Rhinolophus ferrumequinum: one gene and its partner. The main gene of each other region encodes a partner of the protein of the gene in region 2 in a complex. Links are inferred from orthologs where the notes say so. Each region holds a gene or a part of one and is shown on either strand. Other genes may lie near its edges.

The links. The genes of interacting proteins can lie anywhere in the genome.
Region 1: the proteins of SMARCAD1 (region 2) and TRIM28 are in contact, whole or in part, in a crystal structure (PDB 6H3A), measured with the Homo sapiens proteins. The link is inferred for Rhinolophus ferrumequinum from reciprocal best matches to the Homo sapiens genes SMARCAD1 and TRIM28. Residues at the interface, in NP_001362784.1 of Homo sapiens: Asp156, Leu157, Ala160, Lys161, Gln163, Thr164, Glu167, Leu168, Phe169, Asp188, Gly189, Ala190, Ala192, Leu196, Ala201, Gly202, Gly203; in NP_005753.1 of Homo sapiens: Arg330, Trp333, Thr334, Lys337, Ile338, His341, Leu376, Lys377, Ile379, Val380, Asp381, Val383.

What each region holds. Positions count from the first base shown.
Region 1 is NC_046298.1:50,976,844-50,983,843, reverse strand, and holds the start of TRIM28 (transcription intermediary factor 1-beta), read right to left. Parts: upstream 3,004-7,000; 5' UTR 2,955-3,003; coding exon 2,612-2,954; intron 2,292-2,611; coding exon 2,176-2,291; intron 1,962-2,175; coding exon 1,829-1,961; intron 584-1,828; coding exon 515-583; intron 162-514; coding exon 26-161; intron 1-25. UniProt on the Homo sapiens protein: Nuclear corepressor for KRAB domain-containing zinc finger proteins (KRAB-ZFPs).
Region 2 is NC_046288.1:46,988,452-46,995,666, reverse strand, and holds the start of SMARCAD1 (SWI/SNF-related matrix-associated actin-dependent regulator of chromatin subfamily A containing DEAD/H box 1), read right to left. Parts: upstream 3,004-7,215; 5' UTR 2,866-3,003; intron 2,733-2,865; exon of another isoform or gene 2,527-2,732; intron 2,243-2,526; 5' UTR 2,194-2,242; coding exon 2,004-2,193; intron 1-2,003. UniProt on the Homo sapiens protein: DNA helicase that possesses intrinsic ATP-dependent nucleosome-remodeling activity and is both required for DNA repair and heterochromatin organization.

The DNA.
Region 1 (7,000 bases), on a different chromosome or scaffold from region 2:
ACCCCGGCCCTATCGCAGGACTCACTGGTGGTCCTTGTGGGCGTTGAGCTGGCAGTCCCGGCAGGTGAGGGTGTCACAGCTCTCACAGAACAACACGAGGGGCTCGTGCTTGTGAACGTTGCAGTACACTGTGCGCTCGCCATCTCGGGACTTGGCTGGCCCTGGGAAATGGGTATCTTAAGGAGGGAGCCCAACCTCAGCATGTCCAACTCGGGGCCTAACTTCCTGCCTGTCCTGCAGCCCTGGGCTACCTACTGGGAAAACCCAGGGGCCCTGCAACCAGGGCCCAGGAAGAGCACAGGCCCCAGAGCCCAGACCCTTCCTCTCAAAGCTTCCTGTCCCAAGCCTGACCAAGAGACCACCCCCTCCAGCTTCTGGCAGTGTGAGGATGATGGCCTTTGACAGGATACCTCCCCGCTGCTGGTCCCTCTACTGGAACCTTCTCCAGGTGGACACTCAAAAGAGTTCCTCCGCCTCCGAACCCCCCACTGGGTTCCCTTTCTCTTCCACTCACAGCAGGCTCTGTCCAGCAGGGGGGCTTTCTGGCTACTGAGGCATCCCGGGCACGAAGAACATTTGCTTTCTGGCACAGACAGAAAGCGAATCAGGGCCTAGAGGCACCACTCAGGCAGCTTCCTCAGGAGCCATGCCTGCTGACCTCCCCTCTTCTTTGCTCAGAGAAGGCCGTGTACCTTACAAGCCATAGGCCCTCAGGCGGCATTGCAGAGCCTCCTCAGGCTGGCAGAAATGAGGTGTCAGACCAGGACTCTCAAAAAGGTGTCAGGCCCCCTGGGGGCGACAGGTCCCGGTACTGTTATACCACCCAAAGACCAGTATACCACATTTACAACCCCCTCCCCACCCAGTGTCTGTCACCATTAGAAAGCTGTTTGGGAGTCTGTTCCGCTTTCTTCCTCAATCCCAAAAACATCCCGGCAATACCAACCCAGCCTGAGTTATGCGATACTGAGATACAAACCAGGCATCAGCTCCTTCAATGTTACTTCATCCTACACCCTGACCTTTGCCTAAAATCCAGGATCCTCTGCCTGTCCCTCCTCGCTCCTCATGCTGCACAGCCACCACTGCCATCCTCATCTTCCCACCAGTACTGTCCTCTGTGCTGAAGCTGCCAGTGTAACTACCAAAAGGCCACTCAGAACTTGTACATGAAAAACCAGGCTAGACTCAGAAAGCTAACAAGTCAGTTGCCATACCACTGCCAGCATTCACAGAAAGTCTGGAAATACCCAGCTGCGCTTTAAGACACCCACACCCCAAAGATAAAACGACTGGCAGTAATGGCCCGAAGGCCAGCCCTCACAGCTTGTCAAGACGCTGTGGCTGGAGGGCCTTTCTCCTACAGAGCCTTAAGGCAGGTGCCAAGGAACCCCAAGTCAAGAAGGCCCCTCACATCTCTCTCCAAATACCCTGCATTTCCCTGTCTGCACAGGGCAGTTCCTCCACCACAGACAGGCATTTCCCTGTCTGCACAGGGGGGATAGCGGGGAGCCTCCCCTGATGAGCTTCCTTGAACCCTCTGTACACTCTGAGGCACAATGAGGTAGGTCCCTGTGAGCTTCTTCAGTCTCCTGTGCACACCCCCCGCCCTCCGCAGCACCGGGGGCCTTTCTCCCCCTCCCCCACCTGGACCATAAGACCGCATACCAGAGCCCCAATCTTCTGATTTTGAGTTCTGCCACCAGGCCTTTCAGGTAGTGCCCCCTAGTGAAGGTCCTGGGACAAATCCACCATCTGCAACCCACTTAAGCAGCTGAAGACTTATGTAGAAGGGGAACCCAGGCCCCCCTCCATCCGCCTTGTGTACCAGTGGAGCGCACGGTGTGGTCCTTGGTGTACTTCACCCGCTGGTGTGCCTCCACACATGTCTCACACAGTGGCTCAGAGCACTCCACACAGTAGCTGGTGGCGGGGGCATTATCCTCACAGCTAGTGCAGCACTGCCAGGCAAAGGTAGAGTCAGGAAACACAACCACCAGAAATGCTGGCATTTGCAATCCAAGAAACGTTAAGTGGTGCCTTTACCTAGCCTGAACAATTTGCCCAAATGCTCACAGTGTAGGAAGAATAAACTGGAAATATAACCATGCCCCTGAGCTGATGACCCCTCCCCAAGGCCCAAAGCCTCCTAAATGTTGCTAGAACGGAACATACCTGATTCGCATCCTGGGAGTCAGCGGCAGCCTTGCTGCCACTGTCACGCATAAAATAATTCTCCACAATATCTTTGGAGAAGCACTGCTGCTTGCACACAGGACAATCCACGACTGCTGAGAATAAAAGGAATTGAAACCATTCCATGATCACATCCAGACTATATATAACCCCATCGTCCCACTGGACCCCAGTTTCCATCTCAGGCATCCCATGCTGGGCCGGACCTGCCCTCCCAGAACAGAAGCCAAACAAACCCTTCTTTCATCGAACTTGAAGCACACGCCCCATCTCAGCGCCCGGCAGAGCACTCTCCGGGACCCTATCCTCTCGCCTAGCCGATTCACCCGCCACACACTAAGCACAAACTCCCCATCTGCGCGCCAGGTCGGGATCGAAAGCTGCCGGGTGGAGGGCGGGGTCAGACTGTACCCACCGGCTCCGTCCCCCGCCGCGCCGCTGTCCCCCGAGCTGTTGGCGACGGAAGGCGCCGGGGTCCCAAGGCAGGCGCTGCAGGCCGAGTGCAGGCAGGGCAGCAAGCGCGGCTCCCTCTCAGGCCGCAGACGCTCCCGGCAGACGCCGCAGTGTTCCAGCAGCTCCAGCGCCTCGCCGCCGCCCCCCGCAGGCGACGATGCCGAGGCGGAAGCCGACGCCGAGGCCGCGGCCGCGGCAGGGGAACGTTTTTCGCCGCCCGCCGAGCCTTCACCCGGGCCCGGACTGCCCGAAGCGGCTGCCGCCGCCGCCGCCGAGGCCGAGGCCGCTGCTGCCGAGGCCGCCATTCACACGCCGCCGCGGGCGCCCAGGGGGAGGAGGGGCGCGGGGCCCGCCGCGCAGGCGCAGATGCACTCGCCGCCAACGGCTGGGTAGCTGCCGATGCCGCCGCCGCCGCGAGGCCGAGCGCCGCCACGCGCCGCCTGGGCCTCCGCCCGCTGCGCGCAGGGCGCTGCCGAGGCACGGCCAGCCGCTGCCTGCTCGCCTCCCGCCGACGCCGACGCCCGCGCTTCCCTCTCGGTGGCCTCGGAGACCCAAGACACGCAACGCGAACAACCGCTCGCCCGTGCGCCCACTCGCAGAAAGAGCCGCGGCTCGGGGGCGGGACAGAAATAACTGGCGCCGACGCCGTTGCGCAGGCGCGCTGGGCGCCTTGAGCTTGGGGGCGGGGCCCGGGCCGATCGCTATAGAAGAGGCAGCGAGTACGCACGCGCCTGAGTTGGATCCTCCTACCTTCGCCGGCACCACCCCGGCGCCGCCTGTGAGGCAGGGCGGAGCATCATTGACGTTATAGCCGCAACGTAGAACGCGCTCACGGTTTTTAGAGAGTGCTCCACCTCCCCTCTGGCCCCACAGTCTGGCCGCTGTGCTGCGCACGCGGATTGTCAGCCCAGGCCTCCACCTCAATCCCCGCCCCTTTGGCGGCCGGGAGACGTCTCCAGTCATTGCAATAGGCGTTCGGGAGAGGGGGCGGGGCCAAGACCTGGAGGAGACGGCGGGCCCGAGAAAGGGGCAGAGTGTTCCCATCCCAGAAAGAAGTTGCGTTCTGATCTGGCAGGCTGACTTTTCGGTTTTAACCTTTTCATTGTTTAACGTGAGAAACACTGAAACCTGCCCGAATCGAATAGGTCCCAAGGGGCTACAGAGCGGCGAGTCTTGAGATCACGCCTGGCCCACCAAGCGCCCCTTCCCGTCTCCAGCCAGCATCTGTGTTGACTTGGATGCTTTTCCAGGTGGCCGAACCGAACTTCAACGGAGGTGGACTTCTAGGGAGGGAAGCAGGGTTGGAGAAGTGAATCCTGTCTGCCGGGGTCAGCTCTTGAGAGGATGCAGAGCCGCAAGACACTGCTCGGAGTCTCCCTGGCTCGCACACGCCGAGGCTGCAGGGGGAGCAGTTGCAGCCTCCCTCACCTAGCTCCTCAGGCGCCACCCTTGGCGGCGGAGGCGTGCCTGGTCCAGGAGAGATAGGCGTAGCCTTTGTTCCCGAAGGGTACTGGGGGCCTTGGGGCTTTGTTTCGGCGCCTGCCTTTGTTCCAAGCCTGACGCTGCCCCCTCAGCTGCGTCGGGTGGGGCCACGCCCCCTACCCACCCAACCCCCCCCCTACCCACCCACCCACCCCCTCCGAGGCCCTGGCCGCGGGCCCTTGTTTTCTTTTTTCCTTTCTCTGGTAATTGGGAAGGAAAGTTGGTAGCTGGCCGCCCATAGGGTGAGATGTGACGTCCTTTAGTAGTATTTGCTGGATACTTTGGGCGACCCCGTCCTGCGCTGGGCCCCAAAGGGGGTGTAACCCATACCTACCCTGGCCCCTGGGGCAGACGAAGGAGGGAGGGGGGCACGTGGGTCAGGGACCAGAGAGTCAAAATAAGTAGTTGATGGTAAAGAGTGTGGGAGTGGGCTTCCGTAGGTGCTGTCCCCAAACACCTGCAGGAAAGACAGTTAAGGCAGAAGCAAGTGCAAAGGCCCTGAAGCTGACTGGGCACATACGGAGCTGGGAAGTGAGCAGGGTGCATCATACCTAGAAGTTGCCAGACAGCTGCCCTTCACTAGACTCTGGTAACTGGTCCTGTGGTTTCAACGGCCTGCCAAGGCCTATCCTGTTCTCTCTAAACAGTCTCCCCTTCCTCCTGGGCCCTGGACCTTCCCAGTACATGGCCACACAGGCAGGGTGCCAGCAGCAGGCCTTGGAGAGTGGCCTTACCACCCACTGCTGGGCCACTGCCAGCCCCCTTGTCCAAATAGGGAAACCAAGGCTTCTGGAAGTGCCAAGATGGCATTGGGACAGGGGGATCAACTGGAAACCAGGTTCAGGCGGACTCGGGCAAAAGGGGCATCCCAGGACTAGCTGAGCTAGAGTGGGCATACAAGCAAGCAAGGCCAGGGCAGAACCCTTGCAAAAAGGTCCTCTCTGAAGATGCAGCCTATCCAGAGATCCAGAAGACAGGTACATCTTGGCTCTGCCCCCCACCCCCACCCCCGGCCATTAGGTCAGACAGAGCAGTCAGTGTCATTTCTGCTCTCATCCCCTGTGCTCCCCGTCCACCCTTTACAGTATCTCACCCTTTCCAGTCCTTGTTCATTAGAAATTGTCTACATCCTGGCTTTGCAGACAGGTCTCAAGGGTGGAAACTATAGGAATCACTCATACGGCACCAAGGGCAGCCAAGGCCTGCGGGCAGCCACCTTCTCCCTTCCCCACACTCCACACCTGCACCTGGCTCTCCTTCCAACCTTCAGGTGTCACCCCCAAAGCTATTTCTCTGGGAGGTCTAGTGACTGCATCACTCCAATCTCTTACTCCATCTGCACAGATTTCATCTGGGAACTAGACAGTTGTAGTTGTAGGACAACATGAATATACTTAATGCCACTGAATTGTATGTTTTACAATAGTAAAACTGGACAGTTCATGTTGTGTATATTTTACCACACACATAAAAATCAGATTTTGATAAGAGCTTTGGGGTCGTGGCTGGTTCCTCTCTTCCTACACATTTCAACTACAGAGAATCACAAAGACAGGCGCTCCAAGTTGTTTGTGCTCACTGCAGTATCTGCCATGCCTAGCCCAGGGCCCAGTCCACCATAGGCACTCAGTACATGTATAAAAGGGCAAACAGACGCATGGAGATGATGACTGTCTGGAGTCTGCCAATTTTGTAGGCTACAAGATGAGTTTTGGATTCTACTACTTTTAAAGCTGTTTTTAAAATGTGGTGAAAATTCACATGACATCAGATTCATCATGTTAGCTATTTTACAGCATGCAGTCAGTGAGTGGCAATTTATACATTCACTATGTTGTGCAATCACCACCTCAACACCCCAAAAGGAAACCCTGTATCCATCAGCACTCTCCTTTCCCTCTCCCACCAGCCCCTGGCAACCACTGATCATCTTTCTGTTTCTATGAACTTTTTAACTTTTTGATGGAGGCTTTAATAAGTAGAGGAAAGCACACACATCTTACATACAGCAAGCACCCTACAGAATCAGCTCTGAGAGCAAAAAAAAAAATGGAACGTCTCTGGCTCCCAGGAGCCCTCCATGACCCTCATAGCCGCTGCCATCCTGACTTCTCTCAACACAGAGAAGCTTCACTGGTCTGCTTATTGAAACACGCCGAGTTTGCACGTCTGTCTGGTTTCCTTCCCTGAGTGTACATCCGTGTGACTGTATGTGGGCCTCATCACACAAATACCCTAGTTAGTTTGTGCATCCTCCTCTTGATCGCATTTGGGCCTCCCTCCTGCTTGTGCTGTAATGCACACAACCGCTGTCCCACATATGGTTTCTGATTGGGCTGTTCTTTAATTGTTAGGAATGACATGATCTGATTCCCATTTTAAGGGTTCCAGGTGGGGAGTAGATGGGTTGGAGACAGAAAACAAGAGATAAAAACACTCATGCAGGTAAGGCAGAGAAGGCACTAGACCCTCTAAATCACCCTTTAAAATCATGATTGTTCCTCCATTAGTTTCCTGTGGCTACTGTAACACATTACCACAAACTTGATGGCTTAAAACAAAAATTTAATTCACAGTCCTAGAGGCCAGAATTCTGAGGTTCAGATACAGGGAGGGCCAGGTCACAATCCCTCCGAAGATTCTAGGGGAGAAAGAATCCTTCTTTGCCTTGTGGACAGAAAAGGGACCACATGTTAAACCTGACAAGCTCAGGAGACTGAAAATGACCACATAGGACAGTGTGAACATAAAAATTCCTAACTAAGGTGGGCCATGGCAGGGAAGTCATATGCTTGGCCTGTAGCTTCCTTAACAAAGGTCAATCTTTACCTTAAGTGAGCCTATCTGTTGTCTTTTTGCATCCAAGATA
Region 2 (7,215 bases):
TAATTTAAAAAAAAAAAATCACATCTCTTTTTTCTCCATTTCTACTGCTGTTATTAAGTTTGCGTTATAAAAGCTTCCTAAGAAATTTCTCTCCCTTCAAGCCCTACCCTCTAAAAATATAGAGTACTCACAACTGCTAGACTGATTTTTACACAACTTTCTTTCATTTTATCCTTCTACCTAAAGTTTTTAATGGATCCCTAGTATCAAAATGTAAAGTCAAAATTTAGCCTTAGTTTTCAAGATTCTCCAAAATTCACAGTACCATTTACAATAATGTGCTTTAAACCAAAGCTCTCTATTCCTCATAGGATGAATTCTCACCATTCCCAGATGAACCTAATTTTCATATTTTCCAGTGTCATGAAGACTAACTACGAGATTCCTGAAGTCCCAATGAAAAGGAGTGAAGTCTCCTCAGACAAAAAAAAAAGTAATGCAAAAAAGCATCTGATTAGAAAAGGCAATTAAGAATTTTACATTACTAATATTGATAAATAACTAAAAATTCCATTGATTTCCACTTTACAAAGTGCTTTTATTTTACAAATGAAAAAATTGTGGATCTCAGATTTTAAATGACTTGTTCAATGTCACATTTAACTAAAACGGAGAAGCAGAGGCTAAGGACTCAAAATTCATGCCTACAATCCTGCCCTTCCCTGCCTTAACTATATAAGAAACATACTAATGCATTTACTGTTAAAGTAGTAAAGTACCTGGATGTTTAGACATTAACTACAGCATGTTATGCGAATCAAATTATCTGTTTAAAGAATAAACAAAGGGATATACCTCCTGTGCTTAACATCCTTCAGTTCTTCCCCACAGAATTCAGACAAGTTCAAAACCCTTAAGACAAAGCCTTTCAAAATCTGACTTCTAATTATCACTTAATTCAACCTACTATATCATTCCCCAATGTTCCAATTACACTAAAGTATTTTAAAATGTTATTCTATAACTTATAGGGATTCTGCCATCACTGTTACATTTAAATACAAGAGTACCAAAAAAACAGAGATACCCAGGGTTAAGCTAAGGCATATATTTTACCAATCTCGTCAGGGCCACCTTAATCTAAAAGCTGCTTGTGAAATACTGAGTTTTGCATTTAAAAAGGTATTACAGAAATAAACATTAAAACTTCTTATATCCTTTTTACCGTTCATCAGAAACTGTATGTGTACAGTTCCTGTTTAAGGTCAGGAATTAGACTGCTTGCCTCTGAGTTCTGGTTCTACCAACTTCTTAACACTTGAACCTCCCTGGATCTCATTTCTGCAAAATGTAGACATCTAGTAGGACTGCTGTGTAAATTAAATGAGAAAATGTGAAGCACTAAGCACTATGCCTAAACATAGTAAGAATTCAACTATATTCTAAATTTTTAACTGCCCAAAGAACATAAGATTAAAATGGAAATGCTAATTTTTGGCTTCTTCTCAAATCCTATTATCCCTGACAATCTGCTGGAGGTTAAAAATGGTTCATTCACCATGAACAATACCAATTATTCTTGAGCACTCAGAGGCTCTCCAGGAAGTAGTGGCAAAATCTGAATGTGATCTTCGTTTATTCAGAGACTGTCTTCAGGCACCTTGAATAGTTTAGCTAATAATAGGTGATCAATATTTTTGGAGAAATACTGGAATCAACTTAAATGTCTGGCCAAATAACTAGGTGATAAATAACTAGGCGATTCATAGGACTGACTCGCTTAGTTCCTCTTCTAGTAGCAACCACTCTGACCTAAGGATAACCTAAATTCTGACTTGAACTTCCATCATAGGGCCATTTTCCAAGAATAAAAGTGAAGCTTTTATGGATGGACACTTAGTTGGAGATACATGATGTCTATGGCAGTCCCAAAACTGTATTTAAAAGGGTACGGTGTAAAACAATGCATTATTAGGTATAACATCAAGAATAAAAATATCACTTCTGCCTTTCATCTTTTAAAAATATCTCCTGATGCTACATCAATTTGCATCATAACTCACCTGTTTTTTCAGTTATATCTGAATCAGGGGTGCCTGCCCTGCTAACTTCCCCTTCAGCATTCTCCTCTTCAGCACTAAGAGAAATTGGTGAAGAAGGGCCAGGCTGGGAGGGTTGAGGGGTTGCTTCAGGCGCTTCCTCAATCTTACTCCTTTTTTCAAAGCGAAAACGGTCCAAGTTGAAAAGATTCATATTGGTAGAAACCACCACCCTGTGGGGTTGGGAGTTTTAAATGAACTATCTGCAGGGAGAAAATAAAGAGAGAAAAAGAGGCCATGAAAACAATATAAAATACAAAGCCATAGCAGTTCATTCCCAAGGCAATTAAGAGCCCGCAAATGTGCCAGAGGCTCAGCATGGCCATTATGGCTGCGCTTCATTGTTAGGCCACAACGATTAGAAGGTGGACGGGGTATCTTTTTTTATTTTATTTTTCCACTGCTTCTTTTACTCCCCTTCGTTCCCCACCCCCCACGCCCCTCCTTCCTCAAACCACAAGCTGACCCTCGTGCAACCTCCTCTTACCCCAGCACGCGCAGGCACGTTCCCCACTCTAACCCCCCTGGGGGCCGTGCGCCCGCCCACAGTAAGAGGCTCCCTGCCCTACGGTGCACCCTGCCTCGAGAAAGGACGTGCCAGGGCCCGCGCCTCGACACTGCGGGGACACAAAGGGGCCAAAGCAGGGGAGCGGCGGAGGCCGTGCTGGCGGGCACCCGCCCGGAAGTTGACGCGGCGCGATCCCAGCTGAGAGGAAGCTGATAGGATCAAGAAAACACAGGGAAGGTTCAGAGGTGGGCAGTGTGCCGCGGCATCTGTTTCAATGCTCACTCGCCCGTTTTCTTTCTTTCTTCTTTCAGTACTTACAGTCTTGCAGTCTTGGTGCGATGTAACAAAGATTGGAGGGAAAAAAAAAATTCCTGGCTTGCGGCGACAGGAGCCGGGCCGGGACGTTCCAAAACAGCACAGAGAAACCCAACGAGCGCGTAGTGATGACGCAACACGCAGCCTAGGCTTTTTTCTTCCCCAGCGACGCACCAGCGGAAAATGTCTAGGCGCGCGCGCTGTTGTCATGGTAACTCGTACCCGCCCCTCTCTCTGGGAAGAGCGCTTATGGCCTGTTTCTCCAGGTTAGCTAGAGAGTTGTTAAATAGAACAGTAATAAATAGAACAATGACAATAAATAGCATAACAATAATATATAATGTTTGATGTTATAATGTATATTTTATGTAAAATATAAATAGTATCATGATAATATGCTAAATGTTTTACGTGTATAATCTGAACCATTAAAGGAATCTTATTTTTACGAAATAAGGAAACCGAGGCCTGCAGATGTTAAGTACTTAATTAGTAAGGAGTAAAAACCCAGGTATGTTGAGCTTCAAAGCATCTGAACTGCCTCCCCACTGTCGTCTGGGTTGTTCTTAGAGTGGAATATGACAGTTCACCTATCTTGATGGAAATAATACCTTAAGAGTATTTACTCCTGTTGTTCTAACATTAGACTAAGGCAGTTTGGAATTATAATTTGATCCTCTTAAAAGGAATTACTACGAATTATCATTCTGCCAAATACATTGGTCGTTATAAACTTAAATTCGCATTGTCTTATAAGTCAGTGTTTCGAATTATAACACTAACCCATAGGTTTGTCAGATGTGGATACACTTACAAAACAAGTGTCTGAACCCATAAAATTCAGGACAAAAGCCTGAACAACTGGGATTTCCATTATACCTATCTTTGATATCCCGCGAAATGCTCTAGCTTTTTGCATGCATGTTAAATGATGTAATCAAAGGATACGTTCAACTTACAAATAGTAAATTATTTTTGGTGATGAAGAATATTTCCTTTAAGATCTCTATTATCAACTTGCAAATATACAAGACAGCATTATTAACTGTAGTCACCATACTGTATATGTAATTTAAAAATATTTGGTTTGTATTCAAACAGATCTAACATTGAAAATGGATTTCACTAGTGAACGACTGAACAAATTATATATAACTTTTCTAAGCCTTAGTTTCCTCATCTTTTAAATATAGTTGGTGATGACTCAGGACAATATTCTGCAGCAGCCCTAACCCTTTGACATTTTGTACAGCTGGGGCAAGAGTTAAAACGGAGACCTGCGTACCAAATACCTAAATATTTAACTATCATAAATACAGTTAAAAAATGTAAAAAGAAGATGTGTTCTATTTTCCTGTTTTGAAAATGACCTGGAAAATGAGGATGAATTTAGAATTCCTGTGTGTCAGACAAAATACGGGTGATTCAAGGAAATAAGATTGGCCCATGTATCCTGGCTTTCCTATGTTACCCCCACCCCCACTCCAATACCGTTTATGGGCCTTGCTCTCATGCATATGGTCACCCAGCTAAATTGTCCAATTCTGACCCCACCTAGAGTTGCCATATTTGTTGGGGGAAAAAAAAAAGGATGGTCTGTTAAATTTGTATTTTAGATAAACAACAAATACTTTTTTAGTATCAGTGTGTCCCATGCAATATTCAGAACTTGCTTATACTAAAAAAATTATTTGTTGTCTGTCTGATATTAATTTTAACAAGATGTCCTGTATCTTATTTGGCAAACCTACCCATGCCCCACTGCTTGGTCACCTCTTGGGCCTAGGGGCCTTTTGCTACATGTTAGGCCTAAGGATATTGATACTAGAAGCACTGTTGGCCATCAGCAAGAATGACTGGGGAAAAGTCACTGTTAGCTTTTTTGGAGTTGTGTGAACAGATAATTTCAGAAAAGAATTTCAGAAACCAGGTACATAAAACCACTGTCTAAAAGTTAAGGCATAGGTTCTGAGTTAATATGTCTTCTTATCCCCACGGATTCCTTGATCTTTGGGGTGGGGCACAGCTGGAAAAGAGCTAGATTGAACCTCTAAGGCACTAGGTCCTATACAGGAACCACTCTTGCCCAGTTGTAAGGGTGGGGTGGTTCTGCAGCATTCTTTAAATAACCTGGGAGGATTGGAATAGTCCATGTTTGAGATTTTGCTTGATGGTGGATCAAAAGGTTGAGAAAGTATATAACAAGTACCACAGACTGCCATAACAAAATATCACAGACTGGTTGGTTTACACCACAGAAATTTATTTCCTCACAGCTATGAAGACTAGAAGTCCGATATCAAGGAGTTGGCAGGGTTGACTTCTGCTGAGGACCATGAAGGAAGGATCTGTTCTAAGCCTCTCTCCTGGAGATGGCTGTCTTCTCCTTTACATAGTCTTCCTTATGTACTTGTCAGTGTCCAAATTTCCTCATCTTAGAAGGACACCAATGTTATTGGATTAGGGCCCACCCTAATGACTACATTTTAACTTAATTACCTCTCTAAAGGCCCTGTATTGAAGTAGAGTCACTTTCTGAGATACAGGGTTAGAACTTCAACATATGAATTTTTGGGGGGACACCATTCAGCCCATAATAGGGCCAAGAGAGTGGAAGGATTCTCTATATGGGCCCTGAAATCTTCTATAATGATAGCAGTAAGTGGGGCTAAAAAGCCAGTCCTCTAATTTATTTTTCCTTCTGATCCAAAATATGGCCATTTTCCAAAGGTCAGTTGTAGGTTCTCTACTGTCTTTTCTTTTCCCAGAGTGGACTTATTATGGTGGTGACTAAATATGTTTGTCAAGTCTTACTCAACTGTAGACTTAAAAGGGGTTAATCTTACCGTTTACAGATTATAACTCATTACACCTAACAATTTTTCAAAGTAACTAGAAAAATTTAATTATTGATATGGAAGAAGAAGTGGAAAACCACCTTTCCCCCTAGAATGCAGATGAAAAAGACAAGGAGATGAAATCCATGAGATTTAAAGAAATGATAAATATAGGAGTCAGAGAACTGAGGAACAGCCTTTGATTAATTAATATAATTAGAGGAAATAATACACATGTACAAAATGAGTAGAATAAATAATGAAAAATATAATAGAAAATGTTTATGAGCTCTCATTAGTCTGCAAGTGAAAGAGCGCACTGAATTCAAGACAGAATCAATTAAGAGAGGCTATGAACTAAAAACATGCTGAAGAATTTTTTTTTTTTTTTAGTTTGAGGAATTTAGAAAATGTCTTGCAAGCATTTTTTTTTCACACGAAAAAAAAACCTAACAACCTACAAAGGGACAAAAAAAATCAGTCAAAATTTGTTCATTAAACTAAATGCCAAAAGGTAATGAGGCAATATCTACAAAGATTCAGAGGGAAAGTATTATGACTCAGCAATTTTCTAAATCACATATATGTCATTCATTTATGGAAGTAAAAAAAAAATTTCAAACTTTTAATTCCTGGAAAATATATTTCCTTAAAATGTTTCTGAAGACATAAATCCAGTTGATAGGGTCAAAAATGAAGATTTCAAGAACAGAGAATTCATGGTGTAAAAGTATTCTGCTGAGATAAACACAGATAGAACTTAATAATTATAAATATGGTGTATTAGCTTTTTGTTGCATAACAAACAACCACAAAATTTGAGTAGCATAAAACAATGAGCTTGATTGGCTAGTGTGGTTCAACTTCAGGCTACAAACCTATCTACATGCTCAATAAATATGTGTTGAGTAAATGAATGATATTAATAACTAGATAAAGTGCCTAAGTATACAGATAACCACAAAGAAATTTTACAATAAGCCGAAGATCTTCAAAATGATACATGCTATGGAAGAACAACATAAACCAGAGTTTAAAAATCTCAGGAAAGAAGTGATATAACTTAAGAAAGGAAGAGAAGTAAAAGAAAAAAAAATCTTAGAAATAAAAATTAACCTAGATGTAACACACCGATAAATGTAAGAGATAATGCCTTAAGAGAAATAGAGGGTAGAAAGGGAAAAAAACTAAAACTAAAAATACAAAGGTAACTAGATTTCAAGAGAAAATAATAAATATTGAAGATAAGCAAAGAAGATCCAACATAATTACAATCGGAGTCACTACAAAAGGAAACCCAAGCAAAGAAATGGAAGAGATAACTCAAAACTGTAATTCAAAAAAATATTTCCTGAAACTGAAAATTATAAAGGTGTAAAACTATATATTGAAAGAGAACATTGTTTATCTAAGCATATCAACCCAGATATCCAACACCAAGACATATCCTAGGAAAACTTAGACTTCAAAGAAAAACGTTAAAAGTTCCTTAAACACTTAGACAAAAGCAAGCAAG